Linked DNA regions of Tamandua tetradactyla. The protein of the gene in region 2 purifies or fractionates together with the protein of the main gene of each other region. This does not show direct contact. Links are inferred from orthologs where the notes say so. Each region holds a gene or a part of one and is shown on either strand. Other genes may lie near its edges. The genes, in order: TCTN2 and CLGN.

Region 1 (8,567 bases), on a different chromosome or scaffold from region 2:
AATGTGTGGAAAGACTGCAGGGAATGTAAAACATGAAAATGGATTTGGTTAGGGTAGCCTTTTAAATGCTGCATTTAAAAATATTCTACAAGGATCACCAGCAGCCAGTCCCAGAATGCCACGGTCTTCAGGGAGAATGCATTGCCTTGCAGATGCCTTAATTTTTTACTTTTCCTAGCTTCAAAACCATGAGCCAAAAAATCCTTGTTGTTTAAGCTTAAAAAATAATTCTGGCATTAGATAAAAACAAGGAAATTGTTTGCACTTGAAAAATCTAGTTCTACGAAGAAATAGGATATCATAGTAGAAAAAGAATTTCAATGTCTTCCAGCTCAGCCTTCCTTTCACATTGGGCATCCCTTGTGTTCAATCCCAGTAGGTGATCAGCCAGCTTCTGTTTAGAATGCTTATGATGGGGCCTTTCTCTCTCCAGGAGTCAGAGGTCAGACTCTTAGAAGACATGCATACATATACACACATCTACTCTATATGGATTTAGCCAAAAATTCAGATTTCATCAAGACCACCCAGAGAGACAGAGCACGTTTTTACTCAGTGCTTTTTTTCCCTTTAAGTGTAGTCCTTCTCCCTAGCCTTCCTGTTCCCACTTTATTTTTCTTCATTAGCATTTATCTGACACACTGTATATTTTATTTATTGTCTGTCTCCTCTCCTTGGCATAAGAATGTAAGTTCCACGGAGAGTTGGAATTTTTGTATATTTTATTCAGTGCTAGTAGCTATAACAATGATCAAGAAATATTTGTTAAATTAACAATGATTATACTAGCTAGCATTTATTAAGTGTTTATTTTTAATCAGACACAGATCTATGTGTTTCACATATATTAATTCATTTAATCCTTATACTGTTACTATCCCCATTTTACAGATGAGGAAACAGAGGCAGGAAGGAGTTAAGGAACTTTTCCAGTGTTACTTAGCCAGGAAGTGTTGAAATCAGAAGTGTACCTACACAGTCTAATGCCAAAGTAAGCCCTTTTTTTTTTTTTTTAATATCAGTGCTCATTTTATTTTATTTTTGAAAGAATATTCTTCATATAAAGTATTTACCTCCTTATTCCAATAAATTTGGAGCACAATACACAGGAATATTAGGTATTACTTTATCACTTTGAAAAACTTTGAAATAGACTTTCATATTTTTTTAAAAAATGTTGGTATGTAAAAACTGGGGTCCCCTTCAATACTGTAGATTTCATTTTTTTAAACTTATTTAATGGACATGTATTTATTCCTTGGTTTGTTTCACATCTGCAATTTCAAATTAAAAAACTCATTTCTATTTTCTTCCTCCATGTGATTTACAAACCATGTGTTAACAAACGCCAGAGGGACAGCAAAGACTAAGTTTTAAACATTAAGGAAATGAGATGTTTCACATGAGCAGGTGCCTCCCTCCTCCATCTTCATGGAGTTCCACACACCACATGGGAGGCCTGCATGACACTTACATAGCCATATGTGACCATACATAACCCAGTTACATGGCTTTTCCTTTTCTAGCAGAAGTTATAACTCTGTTGCCCTATACTGGTTCCCCTTGGAGAAAAAGATCATATAGAACATGCTTTTAAGTTACTCCACATTATAACCAACCTTATTCCCTGTAATTTGTTATAAAAACATGTATTATGGCAGAGCAAGTTGTACTATTTTAAATTCATGCAAAAATAGATTTAGAGGAAAGAATATGTGAGGCTTTGGTAAACCAAGAAAGTATTTAGCTGCCTCTGAAGGGTAGGATCTTTTTCGGTAGTGGTAATAAAAAGGAAAGAAAACCTCAATTTTTGGCTTAAGCATTTTGATTTTTGAGATAAGATAGGTTACAGTCGGGTTTTTCTCTTTCCTAACCCTCCAATATGCATTCAAATTTCTGGCAAGTATAAGTTGTGACACTATTTTGCTTTTGCTTATAAAATAATTTAGAGCCTCCTGGGGTGTTGCTTTCTTTTAATCCAATGTGACTAGTTGTGTGAACAGCTCAAGAAACATCCTAATATATGAGAATGATACTGGTTTTCTTAAGTAGAATTTACTAACCTTGGACAGAATTATCCAGAGCTAAGCTCTTAAAAGACATGGTCCCACAAGCCACAGAATGAGAAAAAATATTTGCACAGCAAGTCTGATAAAGGATTTCTATTATAACTCTCACAACTTAATAATAGAATAAAACGATTAAAAAAATGGGCAAAAGATTTGAGTGACACTTTACCAAAGGAGAGACACAGATGGCAAATATACTCAATATCATCAGTCATTAGGGAAGTACAAATTAAAACCATAACGAGATACCACTATACAAGTATTAGAATGGCCAAAACCAAAAAATATTGATAATATTAAGTGCTTTTGAAGATGTAGAGCAACATCATCAATACATTGCTGGTGGGAGTATAAAATGTTATAGCAATTTTGGAAAAGAGTTTGGCAATTTCTGAAGTTAAATATATATTTACCATATGACCCAGCAATTCTACTTCTAGATGGAATTAACTAAGAGAAATGAAAACTATGTTCACACAGAAATCCATATGTAAATGTTTCTAGTGGCTTTATTCATTATCAACTAAAAACTGGAGACAACTCAAGTATCATTCAACTGGTGAATGGATAAATAAACTGTAGTACATGCATACAATGAAATACTACTCAGCAATGAAAAGGAGTAAACTGATATTTGCAACAACATGGGTGACTTTTAAAAGCATCAGGTTAAATGAAAGAACTGAGATGCTGCAGGCTACATAATGTATCATTCCACTTATATGACACACTGAAAAAGACAAAACTATAGGGGCAGAAATCAGATTAGTGGTTGCCAGAGGCTGGTGGTGGGGAGAGGGGATTAAAGTCGGAGGGGCATCAGGAGATCTTTTGATGGAATGGAAATGTTCTACATCTTGACTGATTGTGGTTACACAACCATGAGTTTGTCAAAGCTAACAGCAGTGCACACCTAAAATGTGTTAGCTACTGGATGTAAATTATAACTTACTAAACATAACTTAGAAGAAAAGGGATTCTCTTTGACCTCCACCTGCTCTCAGGTCAGGAAGTTAGAACTTAAGCTAACAAAAAGATAAGCCATCATGCAAAGCTATATATGCTAAGTGATAAATTTGAATATAGGAGCATAAGTTTGAGGTAAACAGTGGTGAAGTTCAGAAGTGTAGAAACTAAACTAAACTTTGAAAAATGGATTAGATTCAGGTAAGTGGGAGAAGATGGTTGGATGTGTGTAGGGGACCAGTTTCAGCTGGGAGGACTAAAGTATGCAAAGCCAGGTCAGCTGGATTTGGAGGAAGACGAAGACACTGAAAGCAGGCTAAGGAATGAGAAATTTAAAATTTTTTTTGAAATTGAAATTAAAAAAAAAAATCATTTTACTTAGATTTTGAACAGACACATCCCCATGGTTCAAAATTCTATTAGTACTTACCATTATTTGATATGCTACATATTTATTTATTGCCTGTCTACTCCCACAAGAAAGGAAGCTCCACATAGGCAGGGTTTTGTCTGTTAGTTCAGTGCTAGTGATTGTATTTCATACTTTGTACAGAATATTAACTTTTTAAAAAGTAGATGCTAAGGAGTCAAGAGTCTCTGTTAAGCAAGCATTTTGTTGAGCATATACTATGTGCTAATCATTTATTATTTTGTAACTTTTCAATAATTTCAGAAAAGTTGCAAAAATATTACACAGAATTTATATAAACTGTTTAGCTAGATTTCCCAATTGTTAGCATTCCATCACATTTATTTTATCACTTTGTACATATATATATATAATTTTTTTCCTCCTGAAATATTTCAGAGTACATTGCAGAGGTAAGTGCCCTTAACTTCTAAATATTTCAGTGTGTATTTTCTATAAACAACGTAACCACAGTTCAGTGATCAAAATGGCTACAATACTATAATCTATAGATAATCAAATGTCATCAATTTCTGAGGAAGGCAGAGAGATGCTGGGAGCAGTGTTTTAAGAATGGCCTTTGGGCAGGATTTGTGAAGAAGAGTCTGGAGCTCTTTCCAGTAGGTACCATGAAATATTAATGGATATTATAGGACAAAAAGGTTCTGGAGGCAGTGGAGAATGCTGAATTAAACAGAGATAAATGCTTTTGCTGCTGCAGGATTTAACAATGAAAATTTCTCAGAGGGGAAATGTGATCACTGTAATGATAGCTGCTATGATTACTGGGCACTTGTCACCATGCAATTGTTTATTAAAGAGCAATCCTAGTCCTTCCATGTAGAAGCTGGTGTCTGTAGGCTTTCTTCTTGCTATGTGGTTGAATTAACTCTAAGGATGAGAAAATTCAGTTCTTAAACTGGAGTACCTATATGTCCTCCACCTTTTCCACCACAGTTTTCCCTATTATCAATATCCTACATTAGTGTGGTACATTTGCTACAATTTATGAACCGACATCGATACTCATTATTAAAGTCCATTGGGTTACATTACTATTTTTCCTTTTGTACAGTTCTGTGGACTTTGACAAATGTATAAAGTCTGTGTACATGACTGGTAGCCACCATTACGGTATCATGCAGAATAGTTTCACGGTCCTAAAAATGCCCTGTGCTCCACCCATCCATTCCTCCCCCCAAACCCTAGCCCCTGAACCCCTGGCAACCACTAGTCTTTTGAATGTGTCTATAGTTTTGCCTTTTCCAGAATGTCATAATCGGAATTACACCATATACAGACTTTGAGACTGGCTTCTCAAACCTAGCATTATGCATGTAAAGTTCTTCCATGTCTTTTTGTAGCTTGATAACTCATTGCTTTTTATCTCTAAGAACACTTTCCTCAAGACCCTCTTTAGAATTTAGCAGCCAAAAGCATGTGGAGGACCCGGAGGGATGCTCAGCCTAGGTGCGCTGGGGAGGTGGGGGAGGAGTGCTCTTTTGGCGCTGGACCAATCGTGGTGCGCCGCTCCTCCTGGCCGGCTGCTGATTGGTGGTTGCCATAGCTCCGGGCACTCGCTTGACAAGATGGCGGCGAACGGGCGTCTGAGGCTGGGACTCTGCTTCCAGGCCTTTCGTGGATTCTAAAGCGGGCGCTTCTGGAGAGCGGGTCCGCGAGCACCAAGGCATGGGCTTTCTGTCACCCGCGCCTCTCCTGTTGGGGCTCCTTCTTTTGCAGGGCATCTTAAGGCCGCTGTGGGGTGACCTCGGTGCGTACGACGGGCTGCAGAGCTGGGGCTGAGGGGACGAGGGGTTTAAAGGGCCGAATTTAGGACTCCTGGAAGACATCTACCAGAAAAAGTCATCACACACACCTTAGGCAATGGCTATTCAACTATTAACTCCTTCCTGTCCCCTTCCTTCCCGCCTAGCTTTCGTCCCATCTTTCATCCGTATGTCCGGCCGTGAAGCCAGAGCGTCCCTGGTTGGAGGCACCGAGAATTTGACGGTATCTCTGGCCCTGCTGAAGGACGAGGCAGGTAAAGAGTCCAGGCCTTCTTTTGCTGAGTGTGGGAGTTAGATCAGCTCCAGTCCTAGGAGCCTGGCAAGATGGCATCCTCGGGGCCCCCTGCCTCCATCGCGTGCATAGTCGAGATGGGGAGGGAGAATTACTACTGTAGGCCAGAGAGGATCTGCAATAGGCTTGGTGAGAAAAAGCTTGAAATAAGCATGGCTGGCATCATTGGACTCTCCCTATAGGTGCTTTACATGCATCACCTCATTTTCTTATTAGGAACATAATCTTTATTTTTAACCTCATTTGACAAATGAAGAAATCAAGTTTCAGAGAGGTTGTCACATTAGTGCAAGGCCACACAACTTGTAAAGGATCCAGCTAGGATTCAATCTTAGGCGGCATGACTCACGAGTGCATGCCTTAACTGTTGGGCAATACTGCCTTCTGTTTTAATCTCCTCTATAGGAATGTTGCCAGTTCCTGAGTGTAGAGTGCTGAGCAATGAGACAGGAAACTGGAGTTTGACCGTGACCCCAGGAAGGGTAAGGCCAGAAACAAAACTTTCTCTGCAGTTTCTGTAGAGGTCCACATTTAGTGTTTCTGTTGTGTTTCTCTTGATTTGCTTCGCATTGTTATGAAATCGTGGTCTGTCAGATCTGGTACACACCCATACGGCCTAGAGGTTCTTATCCTAGGGTTAGCAGTCCTTGGACTAGTCTCAAGAGATCTGTGAACTCTGAAATTGTGTGTAAAATGATGTGTATATATACCTTTTTCGGATAAGGGGGACTCCATCTTCAAACAGATTATGATTCAAAGCTTCATAACCAGTGATCTCATTCATTTCTACCCTTATGTATAAGGACAATCCAGCCTGGAAAGAAAACACATCTCCCATTCAATGAGTGTTTATCTGCTGTCTGCTATGTGCAAGATATATTGGAGATAAAAGGATGAGAAAGACAGAATCTGCCTACACCCCAGGAATGAATATTTTAGTAGACTTGTCCAAAGTTATTTTGATGTGATAAGCTGGGAACAGCATTCTTTGGCTTCTTGTGAATTTAATAACTAGCTGGTAGGATTATAAAGATACTAAAAGGGTGCTAGATGAGCTGAATTATGAGGCCTGTGTTTAGCTTGCTGTAAGTATCCCAGAGTTACTGGCTTGTATGTTAAGGTGAGGATTAGAAGTCAGGACTTCTGTATTGTCATAAGTTTACAGGGTGGCATTGAACAGAATTCCTTTATCTTTATATATAATTCTCCTTTTGTGAAATGATCTGAAGCTGTGTGTTGTATTTTCTATTATGTTTACTTACAATTAAAGATGCTGTTTTGAGTCCCTATAAAAGTACAACAATATTTCCTTTTTAGGAAGCATTGGAAGTGACAGTGAGGTTGAAAAGAGATCTTCAACAGTGTTCCTCTAATGAGACTGATTCCTTCTCAGAATCACCATGTATTCTCCAAACTCTTCTGGTTTCAGCATCTCACAATTCATCCTGTTTAGCACATTTACTTATTCAAGTGGAAATTTATGCCAACTCTTCTCTGACCCGTAATGCATCAGGCAAGTAAAGTATTTGACTATTAAAAAATTCAAGTAAAATATTATCTATTGAACTGTGTGTGTGAAGGTGGGTCTATGGGAATTCTGTGCTTTCTGCATCATTTTTTTGTGAATCTACAACTTCTCTAAAAAAATGAGGTAAAAATTATCTAATTGCTTTCAGGCATATAATTTGCTTACAAGCATATATTTTTTGTACTTTATTCTTGATTCCATCTTGCCTTCCTAAGTTTATTTTCCTGTTGTTTAGTATTCTTATTTTGGAAATTTTTATTTATTAATTATTTTACCTAAGATTTATTTCATCTTGTCCACTGGCTGCATCTTTGTGAACTGCTTTATTTATTTATTTTTTCAATCTACTAAATTTATTTTGACATTTGTTCCACCTATTATTTATTTATTTTTAATCCATATGTTTTGCTCATCTGTCCATAAGGTAGATAAAAGAAGCATCAGACACAAGGTTTTCACAATCACACAGTCACATTGCGAAAGCCATATCGTTATACAATCATCTTCAAGAAACATGGCTACTGGAATACAGCTCTACATTTTCAGGCAGTTTCCTCCAGCCTCTCTGTTACGCCTTAACTAGAAAGGTGATATCTATTTAATGCATAAGAATAACCTCCAGGATAACCTCTCAATTCTGTTTGGAATCTCTCAGCCATTGACACTTTATTTTGTCTCATTTCTCTCTTTCCCCTTTTGGTTGAGAAAGTTTCCTCAATCCCTTGGTACTGAGTCCCAGCTGTGCGCTGCTTTAAATCCTTTTTGGAGAACATGAATTGAAAATTAAGCTAATTTATTTCTATGTATTAATTCCTATAACTTCATATATATATATATATATATATATATATATATATATATATATATATAAAAGGAATGGAAAGACTCTAAGTGAGTTTATAACAAAACAGCAGATTTTCTATGAAAGCTTTTGACCTCCAGTTCCTCTTCCCAGCATTAGCTGGTCAGTATTCCTTTGCTTAAAAACACGTACATATGCATAGTAATAAGACATCATTTACAGTATTTTAGCCCTTTAAAAATATATATAACTTTGAGATTGTGCTATATGAATACATGTAGGTCCACCCCATTCTTTTTAGCAGTGGCATGGTATTCTGTTGAGTGGATATAGCATTGTTTAATTAACCAATCCCTTACCGAGTCATTCTCAACGTTTTGCTGTTGTAACTAGTGCGACAGCAAATCGTGTGCACATGTACATAAATCTTTGGACATGGGAAAATGGTTTTGTGTGATTCTTCCCTTCATATAATGTCAGTTTTCTGAAAACAAAAGAACATTCAGGTAGATGTGCCAATGTTGAGGTGTCTGCCCTGATCGGTGTCCATACTTGGCACCTACCTTGTCCCCTGCAGCGCACCTACCTTGTCCCCTGCAGCGCACCTACCTTGTCCCCTGCAGCAAACTCTAGCTGCTCTTGCCTTTATGGTCATCTGGAATGGAGGAAGAAGATTTTGTCTTTAGTAGCCAAGGCCTTTCACTTTAAGACTCT
Region 2 (9,007 bases):
AAATATAACTACTGTAAAAAATAACTACACACAAAAAAAGTGACATCAATGGTATCAAATTTCCCACAACAATGCAAGTGTTGGTGATGGGGTGGTGCATGGGGAGCCCAAATTTTATGCGTGATTGATTTGTAAACCCGCAACTTCTCTAATAAAAAATTTTTTTTAAGTTGAAAAGAAAGGCAGAATGGTCAGTCCAGAGAAATACGACAGAAGAGGCAAGGAGATTTGAAGAATAAGAGAGACTTCCCCTACCAATGCAGGCCTTGATGATGGAGAAAGAACCATAAACCAAGGAATGTGGGTAGCTTCTAAAAGCTGAGAACTGCCCTCAGCTGCTAGTCAACAGAGAAACAGGAACCTCAGACCCATAATTGTAAGAAACTAAAGTCTGTCAACAACCTGAGTGAGCAAGAAAGCAGATCCTCTCCCCCTAGAGCTTCTAGTAAGGAATGCTGCCCCGTTAGACCCCAGATAGACTCGACCTACAGAACTGTGAAATAATAAAACTGTGTTGCTTTAAATTGCTACATTCATGATGATTTTATTCTGGCATCAATAGAAAACTAACTTAATTCTGATTTGTTTCCATATCTTTGAACTGTTCCTACCATCAAGTCTTAGTCGATAAATGCAAAGGCATTTTTCAATAATTCAACTGCCTGAACTTGATGACCATGTACTGCCTCCTTCTTGGAATCCACTCTCCTCCCCTGGTTTCCACACTACTATTTCTGATTCTTGATTCTCTTCCTTTTCTCTGCCTGTTCCCAGTCTTCTTTACAGGCACTTTCTCTAATCAGTTTGAAATGTTGCTGTTTGTTAGGATTCTGTCTCAAGGATCCCTTCTTTTCTTATATTACACATTCTCCCTGGTTGACTAATTATACTTCTTGCTTCTACCTTAAAGCTAGCTAAGGACTCCCAAATCTCATCTACAACTCAGGGGTTAGTTTTTAGCGATCCATTTTGAAGGCTGTCTCAAAGCCTCTATTAATTTGAGCTTTTCTTTCCTTCCCAAACATGCGTCTCTGTTCCCATTAACACCCCCTCATCAACCAAATCAGCCAGTTACTCCGTAATCATCTTAAGACAGTTTTCTTATTCATCTCTTAACATCACTGGTAACTAAATCCACTAGGGTATTTCCTGAATGTCATCTTCTTTCTATCCCCATGGAATAGCCTTAATTTAGGAACCATCATTTCTGAAAAAGATTAGTGAAATCTCATTCTGGTCTTGCCAATCCCCTAATCATCCTGTGTCTTCTGGTTAGCATGATTTTTCTAAAAACACAAATTTTAATTTACCACTCATTTATAAAAATGATCAATAACTCTGTGTACTTATCAGTGTACATTCTACCCTTTCTAAGCTTCATGATTTTTTTCACTAACACTCACCTATTTAATACATTCACGCTTTTACATATGCTATTTCTTCTAACAGAAACGCCTTCCTGCTTTTATTGAGTTTAATGGTAGACTTCAGGACTTAACCAACATTGATATGCCTCAGGAGTGGTTTTGAAAATCACCTATATTGAAAGTTTTAACTATATTTAGTTAAACTAAAACTTTCACTAAATTAAAACTTTCTAGTGGTTTCAGTTACTGAACTAGAGAATAACATAATAAAAGGTACACTGCGGCAGTGCAACGGTGACTCAAGGGCAGAATTCTCGCCTGCTATGCCAGAGACCTGGGTTCAATTTCCAGAGCCTGCCCATGAAAAAGAAGAAAAAAGTACACTGAATATGGCACCAATACACCAAGATTCTAGTTTTATTATTAAAAGGGCAAGTGATTAAAACTCTGGGGCTTTTTTCTCACTTATCAAATGAAAGGTTGAACTAGTTGATCCCCCCAAAAGTTAACAATTCGAGTTTTCTAATTAAGAACCCTAAAACGTGTTAGGTACCGAAAGGAGGCAGTAAGGCTAATTTAAAGTACTGACTTCTAGAGACCCATCAACCTACTTTACATCATTCACACACAAATAATTAACCTTATCAACTAGATAAATAAGATGAAGATACAGAATATCTTATTCTAAGGATTTGGGGAGAAGGTCTAAATGTGATTGGAAGATCAAACTGGTTAGAAGTGAAGGCAAAACTAAACTGAAATGAAGTCAAATTTACAATTAGCAAAAGGAGGGCTGCCTAGCGAGCTTAAATGGCCTATACACAGCGATGTAAAAATGTAAAAGCAAGCAAAACCATAAAACTACAATCAAGACTTCGCTGGTTCTTCTGCATCAAAAAGTTTCCATATAAATTAACCTTCTATTTCTGGCTTTTTCCAACGGCCATTCGATTTATTCTTTTCTCTCTCTCCATCCTGAGCTTTGATGCCATTTGCTTTTAAATCCCAAGCAACTGCCTCCTCGTTGCTTGGGACAGATACTATAAATAAGATCTGCTAAAGTGTCTGAATGATTGTAAACAGGCTCTAAGCGATAATGAGTCCCTAGTAATTAGGGTTTCATTGGATTCAACTCAATCCTCTCGCTCCCTCCCGGAGCGGCGCACCCTGGGCTCCAGGCGGCTCACCCAGCTGTGAAGGTTGGGTGCCTTCGCCTTTACAGAAGGGGGAATTGCGTAAGCTGAGCCTCTGTTGTTATTGTGTGCGATTTTGCGGGGAGGAGCCGGTGGAGTGAGCAGCCCTCGGACGCCCCCAGGGTCCCCCCTCCCCCGAGACCCCCAGAGAGCGCGCACCCAGGAGCTCGGAACGGGACTGAAATGGTAACCGCTGGAATAACGGCCTCGATTCCCTGCGGCCCCTCCGCCCGCAGGGGGCGGCCGCGCTGCCGAGGGCCCCCGGCCTTCCCCGGCCTTCCCCGCCCGGCGCCCGCGCCCGCCGGGACGCAGCAGGTGACATGACGGTTCTGGACGCCCCAACCGACCCGAGGTGGCGGCAACTCCCATCCTCGCATCCACGAGGCCGGGAGCGTCCACCCAAGGGCCTCGTTCGCTGCCGCCTCTAAGCCGAGCCCCCGGAACTCTAGGGCCACCCCCTCACCGGCCCCAACCTGGGTAGCCTTTCGGGTGGCCAAAGAAGTGGGTGCGGCCCGGGAGACCTCACCCGGGGGGAAGCGGCGACGACTCCGACTCCTCACGCCATCCCGGGCGCAGAGGGCTACGGAAGGGGGGCCCCCGGGGCACGCACCTGTCCTGCGGGCCTGTTTTCAGCAGTGGCAGCTCAGATGTCCGAGTCGCTGCCACTTGGTCCCGGCGTCTCGCCAAACCGACCCGCCCGCGGCCGCCCGGGAGCGACTGCTAACCGCGCATGCGCGTGCGGCTGCCGGCGGGGAGGAGGCGGCGGGACGCTGGGGCCACGCGCACCTGCACCGAGGGGCTCAACCGCCGCGGAGGGGCGCCGCGCAGTGCCCGGCGTGAGCGCTGGCGCGGCCGCCGCAGGGGGCGCCCACCCGGCTTGTGGCCGCGCCGCCTCCCCTCGTCTCGGTCGTCGTAACGTGGACCGGGCTTCAGGGTTGCCAAGGAGGGATTCGTCCTTACTGGACCAAAGACTTTCCTCCCCGGAACGTCCGCTTTCCCTACAGCAGGACAATTGTACCTTCTACTGCAAAATTACTGCATCCTGAATTTGTGTATATTTTTGAACAGCGTCCAATATTGGTGCAATCTATAAAAGCCTTAGGCTTTTCCGAGAGTTTGACATGTTAGGAGATAAAGTCGTTGTGGTCAGTAGGGACGCTTCTCATTTCCTATCTCTACGTAAAAATGTCATATATAATTAACATAATGAGTATATAAATAGTAATCGACACAATTATATAATGCATCAATCATATAAATGTTTTTTTTTTCTTTCTGACAGTGCTGTTAAGGATTGCTTACATTGGGTTTTGCATTCATTATCTCTTTTAATCTTCACAGCCCAGGTGAGGAAACTGAACATACCTTGTCTGAGCTTACACAGCCAATGAATGGTGAAAACAAGGTTCAAATCTAGATCTGTCTCGTACAGCTGGTAGTTTTAACCAGTAGGCTAAAAAGGCAGCATAAGCAGTGTTAAACCACAGGCTTCTTTGCCCATAGATGTAGGATTATGCAGCTTTTACTACTACTATTATAGTGAACTTTAAATTTGGTATAATCACGATTTAAATTTTACTGCAACTAAAACATTTAATTGATGAGTCCAAGACCTCGTTTAAAGAGTCTCAGATTAAGGAATAGACAGCTTTTATGTAAACTATATGCCAAAAAATCACTAATCATTTTCACATTGTTCAATAATAAATTCATAATTCCTAGACTGTTAATGCCATCATTCCCTCCCTGCAAAGTGTTTGGATAGTGTTTAACTTATTGCTAAAAAAGACAAATTTTATTTGAGGTACTTTGTAACAATATTATACCTTACATTTTCTTTATTCAGACTCTCCAAGGTCTATTAGTCAACAATGGTTCTGTAGCTCCAAACAAATACACTAGATTTGCTCAAGGGCTTTTGAAAGATTTATTTAAAAATAGTTGTAGTGAAGAAGCTGAAAACCAAAAATTTAAAAGTAGGGGAGTTTTTGCTAGATTTAGCATCATATTGGTTACTCAGCATTCAAAACCTTGGAACATCTGTTTTCATTTGCTAGGCTGCTGGAAGCAGGTATCATAAAATGGGTTGACTGGTAACAACGGGAATTTATTAGTTTACTAGCTTAAAGTTTTGAGGCTGAGAAAAGTGTGCGAATCAAGGCATCATCAGGTGATGCTTTCTTCCCGAAGACTGGCTGCCCTGGAATCTCAGTTCTTCCGGCATATGGCAGGGCACATGGCAATGGCTGCTGGTCTCTCCCTTCTTTTCCATGTGTCAGTGGTTTCAGCCTCTTGCTTTGTAGCTTTCTCTCTCGTGTAGCCATCCCCTTTTAAAGGACTCCAGTAAGAGGCCACACCTTAACTGGAATAATCTCATCAAAAAGGTCCTACTTGCAATAGGTTTACAACCATAGGAGTGGTTGAGATTTAAGAACAGAATTTTGGGGATACACACAGTTCCAAATCACATTTTTAAATATCTTTGGCTTCTACACCCAGTGCCTGTATAAATTTTCTTTAAAATCTCTAAGGTGGTCCCCACTTTTCAGTACTGCTGCCAGTCTTTAATTAAGACTCTCATTGCTTTAGATATTGTTGCCAACAGTTGCCTAACCGGTTACCCCTGCTTCAAGATTCCCATTTACACTTTATAGTGTAATACTCAGAGAGTTCATTCAACAGCTTCCAAGGACTGCTCATTACCTACAGAATCAAGTTTAATTCCTTAACCTGGAATGCAATACCCTACCTACAGCTCCAATTTTTTTTTTTTTGCCACTTATTGAAAGGAAGGTTGAATATGATTTTTCTAATTTTATTTTAAAAAGATAACTTTCATCAGTTTAATAAAGTGTGCTATTCTTCTGATAATTTAAGAGAAGCATGACCTGAAAATGAGACCAGAGTTTTGACTCTTAAGAGAATGATATGGTATTTAGACATATAAGGTGAGGAGTCCTTGAAGGTAATACCAAACAGGAGAGCTGGGAAGTGCCTTGGCATACACAGCTATAGATAGATTTGGGAAGAGTCCAGGTTGACCTAAGCAAGAATGGAGAGGCTGGGTTCATCACAGAGCTGGAAAAACATTAGAAGCAGGAAAAGAACAATGTTCTTTTGGAAGCCTATTTTGTAATCAAAATAATGGCTTTGTTTTATTGGATGGCCTTTTATGTGTAAGGTGCTGTATATAATGGATACACAGATATTATCTTTACTTTATTTATGAAAAAACAGGCCAAGAGAAGTTATGCAATTCGTTCAAGCTCCCACAGATCGAAAAAGCCTATGCTTTGTCCAGAACACTTTGCCTCCTAAAATAGAGTGTCTCTGAGCCAGGTTTTATAGAACTCGGTGAAGTTTTAACCCAGATATAATGAGTGGACCCAGAGCTAGACAATTAAAAAAAATATTTTGTTAAAACCTATTTTTGTAGTCACTTTTTTTTTTTGCCTGGGCAGGCCGGGAATCCAACCCAGGTCTCCGGCATGGCGGGCGAGAACTGTACCTGCTGAGCTACCGTGGCCCGCCCTGAAGTCATATATATTTATAAATGTAATAAAAATTATGGTGTAGAAAAGAATGGGGAAAGGAAACAATCACCCCATTTTCCAATTGGTTAATTTTTGTTTCAAGATATATTTATCTTTGGCAAATAATTTTATCTATCCCTGTCTAATATTTATACTTCTTATTTTCTGTGATTTTTCCTTATTGATTTGTCAAAAATACAAAACAATAATAATACTTGTAATAATGGTTGCTGTTGTTGTTTTTCTGCTAGTGTTAATCAGAATTCTTCAGGTTAAAGTATATGACTGGCAGAATGAACCCATGCGGAAGTTTCTATTTTGTGAACCCCGAAGACATTTCTGAAAAGATAGTAAAATGATGGAATAAGCACAAAAATTTGTTCAAAAACCAAAAGGGTACAAGAGGAAGGAATTAAGAAGGATTAGATTAATGAAGAGGATAGCCTAAAATGTGAGAAGAAAATATTTTCTTGAACATGGAAAAGGCAAAGAATGCTTAGACGTGATGTATGCCAGTGGTGACAAATAATGGTTCAGAAAGGGCCAAGGGGAAACATAAGGAGATCCACCCCTCAAAATCCTGTTCCTCACCCATTTCAGCCAAGGAGCAGCAACAGGGAAACCTGCCTCCAGGTGTAGGAGTGTGGATTGTGAGATGTCAGGTTAGAGAGCCTTGACCTGGGTGAGTGTCTGTCTCCCACCCACAAGATTAGCTCTGCCCTGAAGGCACTCCACCTACCCAGCACATCCTCAAACGCCCTCCCCTGCAAACAGGTGGTATACAATTTCAGCAGCATGCCCCACCCCTCTAGTTTGTGTACTCCTCTTTGTAGCGTATATTGCCTGCTAAAATATTTGTCTTCCATGTCTTTAACACTCATAGGCTTTGACTTAAGGAAATCTTGTAGCTAGGCTGATCCTCTCTCCAGACCACTAAAACTTTCTCCACATCCGTGATAAGGCTGATCACTTTCTTATCATTTATGTGTTCACTTGGAGTAGTAGCAGTAGTAGTAGTAGTAGTAATAGTAGTAGTAGTAGTTCTTTCCTTCAAGAACTTTCCTTTGCATTCACAACTTGGCTAACTCTTAGGCACAAGAGGCTGAGATTTCAGCCTATCTCAGTTTTCAACATGTCTTTTCTTACTAAGCTTAATCATTTCTAGCTTTTGATTTAATGTGAGAGACCTGCAACTTTTCCTTTCACTTGAACACTTAGAGGCCATTTTATGTTTAACTGGCCTAATTTCAATATTGTTGTGTCTTAGGCAATATGGAGGACAGAAAAGAGGGAGAGAGATGAGAGAAATGCCTATTGATGGAGTAGCCAAGCACAACATTTGATTATGTTCACTGTCTTATATGGGTGTGGTCCTGGCACCCCAAAACAATTACAATAGTGGCATCATATCACTGAACACAGATCATCATGACAGACATAACAATGAAAAAGTTTGAAATGTTGTGAAAATTACCAAAATGTGACACAGAGACATGAAGTAAGCACATTTTGGAAAAATGGCACTAATAGACTTGCCTGACACAGGATTGCAACAAACCTTCAATTTGTAAAAAATAGAACATATATGCAAGGTGCAATAAAGTGAAGCACAACAAAATGAGGTATGCCTATATAAAAAATTAATAACAATCTGAGATGAAAATTCAATGTGGTTGCAGTAAGGGAAGTGTTGGGGGTTGCCAAGATCGAACGTTCCCAGAAGTGTACCAAGTTTTTTGCCTTGTTTAGCTGATATATATTATTAAATATTGATTTGCTTTGGTAGTGTGTGAAAGAAATTGAACTTAAGTATGCTCTTAAAATGGTTTAAGTATTATTTTAGGAGTTTCTGGAAGAAGAGAAATAGAATGTGTAATTTTCAAACCCTCATGGGGGTAGAGGAAGGAACAAGAAAATTCCAATAAAATGCAGAAAAGGGGATGTCAGAGCAACCATCTCCAGTATACAGGATGTGAATACTGGATGCAAGAGTGAAGCTTTGAACATAACACTTAGCAGGGAGACTTAAACAAAAAGCAGAATTTGACTAGAATTCTTTAAGCAAGCTACTGTAAAAATCTTGGGTAACAAGTTTTTAATTGACAGAATAAAAGAGATCCCTCCCCTTTTTATCCCTCAGTAAATGAAGTTTTAAATTTCAAGATTTTTAAAAGTCACAACATATCTCATAACAAACCACCTCAGCCAATAACTGGAATAGCACTGGTATGCAAAAATAATAGGAACCTATCATTATTGCTTTCATTGTTTGTGAATAACAAAAATACCTGTGTAAATTGGAAAGCTCATTCATTCATACATTAACATTTACTGATTTTAAAAAAGTATAGGACATGTAGGGTCCTTGGTCTTTAAAAGTTCAAGGCAGAGAAATAAAAAAAATGAAGTAGCAGCATGTGATAAATTCATTAGCATCTTCAGATGTATTCTAATTCTAAATCTATATAAAAATATAATGTGCATTAGAGATTAAGTGCTTGGGTTCTGGTGCCAGACTCCCTGGGTTTAAATCCATTTTTTTAGCTACATGACGTTGGTCTGGTTGCTTACTCCTGTGCCTCAGTTCCCCATGTTTAAAATGAGGAAAATAATAGTATGCATATAGAGTTATTGTGAGGAAATAAAGTCCAGCTGATAAAGACCACCAGGGACAACCTGTAGCCCAACAAGTTTGGGTTAATTGACTGACTATAGGAAAAGAGCCTCACTAAGGGGAAGTAAGAGAGGTTTTGCTGTAAGGTTCAGGTTGACCATGAATGATCCTGACACAGGTCTGGAAGAAGTATAGTCAACTTTAAGTTGGCAACTGGCCTTAGGCAGGGGTTGCTTGACAATCAGTACCACAGTAATCTTTGTTAAACAGGTGGGATTACCAAGGTGAGACGAGGGGTAT

Evidence for each region.
Region 1: the proteins of CLGN (region 2) and TCTN2 purify together in Homo sapiens (affinity purification with mass spectrometry; 3 studies listed by BioGRID and IntAct, with this or other methods). This does not show direct contact. The link is inferred for Tamandua tetradactyla from reciprocal best matches to the Homo sapiens genes CLGN and TCTN2.

The regions. Positions count from the first base shown.
Region 1 is NC_135331.1:8,399,516-8,408,082, reverse strand, and holds the start of TCTN2 (tectonic-2), read left to right. Parts: upstream 1-4,992; 5' UTR 4,993-5,133; coding exon 5,134-5,215; intron 5,216-5,377; coding exon 5,378-5,485; intron 5,486-5,928; coding exon 5,929-6,005; intron 6,006-6,840; coding exon 6,841-7,036; intron 7,037-8,462; exon of another isoform or gene 8,463-8,508; intron 8,509-8,567.
Region 2 is NC_135348.1:27,627,705-27,636,711, reverse strand, and holds the start of CLGN (calmegin), read right to left. Parts: upstream 3,315-9,007; 5' UTR 3,171-3,314; intron 3,132-3,170; exon of another isoform or gene 3,034-3,131; intron 2,683-3,033; exon of another isoform or gene 2,555-2,682; intron 1-2,554. UniProt on the Homo sapiens protein: Functions during spermatogenesis as a chaperone for a range of client proteins that are important for sperm adhesion onto the egg zona pellucida and for subsequent penetration of the zona pellucida.